Saccharomyces cerevisiae S288C: one gene and its partner. The protein of the gene in region 1 purifies or fractionates together with the protein of each later gene. This does not show direct contact. Each region holds a gene or a part of one and is shown on either strand. Other genes may lie near its edges.

Region 1 (3,794 bases):
GAGTAATATATAGATGATAAAGAGAACTTACTCATCACCCTCTGCACCAAATAGCATCATCATATCGAGATCGTTCTGGTCGAGTGTTTCCTCTGCGGGGGCTTCATCAAGTTCGCGCACCACCTTGTTCTCTTGTATGTGTTCCCGTTCATGCACATTATCCTCGTCCTCATCGTTTTCTTCGTCATCCTCCTCGTCTTCGTCCACTTCATCCTCTTCCTCTTCTTCTTCCTCTTCCTCTTCTTCTTCCTCGACGTTATTTGCAGTTTCTGCGTCAGAGCGATGTTGATGTTGTTTCTGGACAGAATCTTCGGTTTGTTGTAACTGCTTACGTTTTAGTTCAGCCTCCTTCTCGAGCTTTTTAATGCTATCTATGAACCTGCTTTTCAAAAGAGGATTCGTGGCTTTACTTAATTTATGCTTGGTATGGGCCAGGGTGGTCTCTAGTTCGTTCAATTCGTCCGCAAGTAATTCAGTGTGCTGTCTGTTTTCGTCTTTTTCGTCATCAGATTCACTTTCCCCACCAGCAGCTTCAATGTCACCGTCGTCATCATCGTCATCATCTTCTCCGCCTGTGTCTTGATCCACCTCATCACCGACTTCCTCTTGTTGTTGCTCCTTGTCTCCCTCGGCACCGCTACCTTCCTCTTCACTTTCAAAAGCAGCGCCTAGGTCAAGATCCTCCTCTTCTTCTTCTTCCATTCCTTCTTCTCCCTCTTCTTCTGCACCTTGTTTTCCTACTGCCGAAGCAATTGTGTGTATCTCTTCTTTCTTTAAAGCAGGTCTAGATAAAGGCTCTCCAGGCTCCTCTTTGAAATTTTCCCAACTAGAAACACGCTCTTGCCTCGCTTGCAGTTCACTTTTATCAACCAGATCATAGCTGACCTCTTCTGCCTGTTTATCTTGCTTCAAAAGCATATCAACCACTTTTTCTACATAGTCTATTTCATTAGGGTCCATTTTCCGTCTAAATCGTCTATTTCGAACATTGTACAAAGGTGGTGATATTCCATGTTTGTAGTCATAGCCCTTCAAAGCTATTTCTTTCAAATGTTTAGCCTCCATATCACTTAAAGGCGCACCATTGTATCCTTTTAAGAAGGTTTCTTTATTCTCCCAAATTTCATCCTCTATGCCTTCAAAATGCTTAACAACCAGATCTTCTGTATCAGGGGCTTCTAGGGCATATACTTCTTCCTCTTCTTGTATAGGTCTTATGCATAGTAGCATTTGTGATACGTCAAATGTCTTCAGGAGGTTTTTTCTATCGACGCTCTTGTTCACTTCTATAACTGTAGGCAAATCTACTAGAATGGCACCATACATTACATCGTTTATTGTTACGACAGCGTGTCTCTCGTTTTTCCACTTGATACTTATCCCAGAATAATCACCTGATTCTAACGAATTTTTTACAAACTCTAACTGTATGTCTGGAAGTATCCTTAATATCACACCACTCTCTATGAGAGGGTCATCTTCAATATCAGAGGCTTCTGAGTCGTACGCTTCCCCAGGAATTCTAATAGGTTTGAGACGTAGCTTTGGCGCCTTGTGTATCTTCTTAACTGGTTCTTCATTTTTTTTCAAGTTTAACTTTAACTTCAATGAATTCTTCTTCTCTTTGCCGTCAGCACTCTCTTTCTTTTTCTTTAGGTTTATCTTTAATTTAGGCTTTGGTTTGATATCTTCATCAGTTACCTTTGTCTTTATGCGAATTCTCTTTAGTTTAGGCTCGCCTTCTAATGGTTGATCCTTCTCTCCTGGTCCTCTGGGTTTTTTAATTCTTATAACAGCCATATTTACGTCGATTATTGCGACTAATTTGAATGGTAACACTGTCTCTTGTTTATGTAGTTCTTCCTATTCTTCTCGCTTTTATTATTTTTGCTAGCAAGTTTTGTCTTGAAATTTTATTTACTGTTCTCATCGGCCGAATAACAGCGATATTATTGTATGATGATAATAGAGATGAAACTTTACAAATGCGGTTACTACGTCAGTCAATACCATTCTTTGAAGTAAGAAGGCTCAGCAACTATGTCTGTTCCAATCCCTGGTATTAAAGATATCTCCAAACTTAAGTTCTTTTATGGTTTCAAATATTTATGGAATCCAACAGTATACAATAAAATCTTTGATAAGCTGGATTTAACTAAAACGTATAAACATCCAGAAGAATTGAAAGTACTTGACCTCTACCCTGGTGTTGGTATACAATCAGCTATTTTTTATAATAAATATTGCCCCAGGCAATATTCTTTATTAGAAAAACGCTCAAGTCTCTACAAGTTTCTGAATGCAAAATTCGAAGGGTCTCCATTGCAAATTCTAAAAAGAGATCCATATGACTGGTCAACCTACTCGAATCTAATTGACGAAGAGCGAATATTTGTTCCTGAAGTTCAATCCTCAGATCATATTAATGATAAATTTCTAACCGTTGCTAATGTGACGGGGGAGGGTTCTGAAGGTCTTATAATGCAGTGGCTGTCCTGTATTGGAAACAAGAACTGGTTGTATAGGTTTGGTAAAGTAAAGATGTTATTATGGATGCCAAGCACAACAGCTAGAAAACTTCTAGCTAGGCCAGGCATGCATTCTAGATCCAAATGTTCAGTAGTAAGGGAGGCATTTACAGATACTAAACTCATTGCCATATCAGACGCAAATGAATTGAAGGGATTTGATAGTCAATGCATAGAAGAATGGGATCCCATTTTATTTAGTGCTGCGGAAATATGGCCTACAAAGGGAAAGCCAATTGCGTTAGTAGAAATGGACCCAATTGACTTCGATTTTGACGTAGATAATTGGGATTATGTCACGAGGCACTTAATGATTTTGAAAAGAACACCCTTGAATACTGTCATGGACTCGCTGGGACATGGTGGCCAACAATATTTTAATAGTAGAATCACTGACAAAGATCTGCTAAAAAAGTGTCCGATTGATTTGACAAATGACGAGTTTATATATCTAACGAAATTATTCATGGAGTGGCCTTTCAAACCAGATATTTTAATGGATTTTGTTGATATGTATCAAACAGAGCACTCTGGTTGAAAAAAGTGCTTTTAAAATTTACTTCATTATTTAATAAATATGTGATTTTAGCGTGTGAATATAAAAAATACATAGAACTCAATCTTCGTTAACACGGAACCATCTTGTAATCAAGAAGCGAGAAGCGGAACTAAAACTTTAAGAAAAGGAGCTCTACGAACCGTCAAAGCTAAATTGATCGATAGAAATTGCTTCTTGAAACTTTACATTCTATGTACTTTACAAATATACTTTACAAACTTAGCCATTTATATTACTTTACAGTTAAAAATCCATCAGGAATTATTCGTCTGCTTTTTGAGATTCATGGCTAGCGACATACTCAGTAGCTTTAGCTTTAACGTATTCAATGGTCTTTTCGTCACCTTCAGATTCCTCAAATTGTAACCATTTATTAAAGAAAAACTTAGCCTGCTTCCTTGTTATTTTTTTGGTTATTATTCTCTCAAATAAATCTTCCACCTTCTTCTTATCTTTTGCCTTCACTTCCTGGTCTACGTAAACGTTCCACAGGTCAATTCTCTTTGGCGCATCAGCAACCAAACCTTCGAATAATGACCGACCCCTTTCTGGGTCACCCTTTGCAAATTCTAATTGAGCAAACTTGCGGACAACCTCGATATGATTACGCTTTGGTAGGGCCTTCAAAGCATTACCTAAAATAGTACGTGCCTCTTGCTCTTCATTGTGGCTGATCAAAAAATCACCCCACGATACCCAGATAGAAA
Region 2 (3,999 bases), on another chromosome or scaffold:
CACTGAAAACAAATACAATAGGTTCAACGACAAGCATTTTTAAAGGCCTTAAGATTGTAATAGTGACAGTGGTTTTTAAAAATTCTTTCTGAGCTTCCCTGCTGAACTTCTTCAAGGCTATATTTCTCTTCTTGGCACGCTTTCTTAAAATAATACCTTTATGGGTCTCTGGCATGAGCGCAATAAATGGCAAGATTAGACCGCCCGCAATCAATTGGATCCATTCAGACCAACGCCAGCCTTTGGCTTCAGTAGCAAATCCTGCCATAATAGGAGATAAAACTGGCCCTAAGAATGGAGATAGAACAAAGTATGTCATTGCGACGGAGACCTGGTCCACGTCAAAGATATCCAGGATGGTACCTGATCCAACGGATAAGGCGGGGGATGCAAAGACACCTGATAAAAACCTTAGGGGTAGAATTATTCTCATGTGGCCATTGGATAACCCAACACCCATGGTGAAAAGCATTGACACAGGTAGGGAAAATAAATAGACAGGCTTACGACCAAACACTTCACTTAATGGAGCGCCGATGACAGTCGATAAACCCAGAAGATAGAAAGTTAAACCAGCAAGCGCCAAAGTCTGACTAACGTGATATCTTTCTACCAATTCTGGTACGGAAGAAACATATAGGGAACTACCCATTGTGACGACCAAACAAAGAAAAGCTGAAGTCATAGTAGTATACCATTTCTTCAAAGAGGACCAATTATGCGGATTGTCTGGGTCATCGGGCCCGTCCCAATCGAGATCTCTTGGGTCAATTGGCTCGCCCCCTGTCATGTTATTGGAATCTGCATTCGGTTCTGATCTTTTTTCGTCCTCTGTTATTGACCCTGTCGAAGAAGAAGTCGAATCCAAGTTGCCGCTATTAGTTACATTTTTGTCCAAGGCTTTTGGTACCTGCTGTATGTTTGTTCGAGGATCTGAGTTAGATTCGGTTTTTGTCAAAGAAGAAGGCATTAGTAAAACTTAAAATATATGTATACGATGTCTATGCTTCTTTGTGTGTGTATGTGTGTGTATAAGATGGTATCTTTATTCTGTAATTTTCAGGAAAGTGATGACTAGAAAATCGATGTGTCAGGTACAACAAATTGACAACCTATAACTTTCCATACAGGCGAATATATATATACACATAAACACATTCAAGCCTCCGGTACCGTTTGCTCTGACAAGGACAATTAGCATGTAAGCACGAGTGCGGGTATGCAATCATTTCAGTGTTTCCTTCATTTGGCATAGTGTCGTAACACGGATTTAAGGTGAGCCGTCAGGGGCTTTTAAGCGGAGCCCCTGCAGCTTCATGAAGACGGAACCGCACGGGCCTATTACCTCGGGGATAGATCAATTATCCGAAGCGGGTCACAACCCGGAAATAATAACCACTATGCCCGACCGTACCGACGTGGCACTATTTTTGGGATCCGTGGAAGTCGGCCATTAGTGGTAATCGGCGAAAACAAGTTTATTGCAGCTAAAGCACGCCATACGGTTGATATAAACAGCAATTAGGCACTTTTTCTCTTATTATTCATATGCCTTATTGGCTTGTGGCTTGTGGCTTGTAGCCTATGCAAATGCATTTGCTGATAGCAGCATAAGAAAGTTGGGAAGAAACGCTAACTGTACTTTTTATATCCAGAGTTCATTAGTTGATCTTTTACCCCAATAATTTCTTCCACTTGCGGCCTGCTTCTTCGCATTTCTCCCATTCCGGGCCGCGACTCCGTAGTTCTTACAGAAACAGCCGCCTCCATAACCATCTATGATAGGAAAAAGATGGACAAACAGGAAAAGAGCTAGGGAGTATAACCTGATTCCTGACATGTATAGGATTCGGGTAATTTTGAAATACGAAGCTCTTTGCATTCCGAGACCGGTTTAGGAAGATTTATTTACATATCTACTTGCGCTATTGTGGTCATGCCTTCGAAAGATAAAGAGCGAATTTTGCTCGTATAAGCTAAAATCAGGTAAAAGTTCCTTATGTTGCTGCTCCTCGATGGCAACGTCGATCTAAGATCTTGATTACTGAATCAGGCGAAAGCACACGTTCATCTTTCGCTCATCGGAAAGAAAATTAAAACAGAAAAAAATTCTAAAATGGCAAAAAAGAAGAAAAGCTCAGTGAGGGCTGTATAGTTTATTAGATAAGCTACTATACGTACATATCTTTTGTAAATAGAACCAAAAATCTTCATGCTAAAGGGACCGCTTAAAGGTTGCTTAAATATGTCTAAAAAAGTTATAGTGATTGCTGGTACAACAGGAGTAGGAAAGTCTCAGTTGTCCATACAATTGGCACAAAAATTTAATGGCGAAGTTATCAATTCGGATTCTATGCAGGTATATAAAGATATTCCTATTATAACAAATAAACATCCGCTTCAAGAAAGAGAGGGCATTCCTCACCATGTAATGAATCACGTAGATTGGTCAGAAGAATACTATTCCCATCGTTTTGAAACTGAATGCATGAACGCTATTGAAGATATTCACCGGAGGGGTAAGATACCCATCGTTGTTGGGGGTACTCATTATTATTTGCAGACTCTTTTCAATAAGCGGGTCGATACGAAATCATCCGAACGTAAGCTCACAAGGAAGCAGCTCGATATTTTGGAATCGACTGACCCTGATGTGATTTATAACACACTTGTGAAGTGTGATCCTGATATAGCTACCAAATACCATCCTAATGACTACAGGAGGGTACAACGAATGTTGGAAATCTACTATAAGACGGGCAAAAAACCAAGCGAGACATTTAACGAACAAAAAATAACTTTGAAGTTTGATACCCTATTTTTATGGCTATACAGTAAGCCGGAGCCACTTTTCCAAAGGCTTGACGATCGTGTAGACGACATGCTAGAAAGAGGCGCCTTGCAAGAAATCAAGCAATTATATGAATATTACAGTCAAAATAAATTTACGCCGGAGCAATGCGAGAATGGTGTTTGGCAAGTTATTGGCTTCAAAGAATTCTTACCGTGGCTAACCGGGAAAACTGATGACAACACAGTAAAATTGGAGGATTGTATAGAAAGAATGAAAACGAGAACACGTCAATACGCAAAAAGGCAGGTAAAATGGATCAAGAAAATGCTGATACCTGACATCAAAGGCGATATATACTTACTGGATGCCACTGACCTTTCTCAATGGGACACGAATGCATCTCAAAGAGCGATAGCTATTTCCAATGACTTTATTAGCAATCGACCCATCAAGCAAGAAAGGGCACCTAAAGCCCTAGAGGAGCTGTTGTCTAAAGGCGAAACTACGATGAAGAAATTGGACGATTGGACACATTATACTTGCAACGTCTGTCGTAACGCAGATGGTAAGAACGTTGTAGCTATTGGCGAAAAATATTGGAAAATTCATTTGGGTAGCAGAAGACATAAATCCAACTTGAAAAGAAACACTCGTCAAGCTGATTTTGAAAAATGGAAAATAAACAAGAAGGAGACTGTGGAATGAAAATATTAGGAAAAAGGAGTTTATCCTGAGTGTATATATCTACATAAGTGAAGCTGGGTTTTGATAATGGAAAGGGAGGATGACAAGCTCAAAATATACTTTATAGATGAATGAGGACAGGTATCATTGGTCTTCAAATGTCAAACTCTTATCAAGCCTAGCTTTTTCTGCTCTTCTTGCTGTATCATATTCCTGTACCTCATTGTACAGATTGCTGGTAGAAGTAATTAAATTTTCGTAAAATGCTGTGCCGGCACTTAAATTTTCTTTCACCTCATCAAGCAGTTTGAAGGAATATCTCAGATCTTCAATATATAGCTCTCTGGGATCTATTCTTACCATTTTCTTTGGTTCAATCCCGCTTCTGCCGGGGTTATTCTTCTTACTTAGGTTTACTTCCTCAATAAGTTTGATATTTTCTTCCTTTGTACTATTAACGTATCTTAAATCTTCGTCAAAGTATTTTAAATGGCCTATGAAAATGGGTTCAAAGTCGACTG

What was found.
Region 2: the proteins of MTF1 (region 1) and MOD5 fractionate together in Saccharomyces cerevisiae (co-fractionation; one large-scale study listed by BioGRID). This does not show direct contact.

The regions. Positions count from the first base shown.
Region 1 is NC_001145.3:722,586-726,379, forward strand, and holds MTF1 (RNA polymerase specificity factor), read left to right. Parts: upstream 1-2,040; coding exon 2,041-3,066; downstream 3,067-3,794. Other genes in the region: TATA-binding protein-associated factor TAF7, read right to left, coding at 28-1,800; RRP5 (Rrp5p), read right to left, coding at 3,349-3,794. UniProt on the Saccharomyces cerevisiae protein: Mitochondrial transcription factor that confers selective promoter recognition on the core subunit of the yeast mitochondrial RNA polymerase. Interacts with DNA in a non-specific manner.
Region 2 is NC_001147.6:835,462-839,460, forward strand, and holds MOD5 (tRNA dimethylallyltransferase), read left to right. Parts: upstream 1-2,212; coding exon 2,213-3,499; downstream 3,500-3,999. Other genes in the region: TPO4 (Tpo4p), read right to left, coding at 1-970; RIM20 (Rim20p), read right to left, coding at 3,623-3,999. UniProt on the Saccharomyces cerevisiae protein: Catalyzes the transfer of a dimethylallyl group onto the adenine at position 37 in the anticodon loop on a specific subset of tRNAs both in the cytosol and the mitochondrion, leading to the formation of N6-(dimethylallyl)adenosine (i(6)A).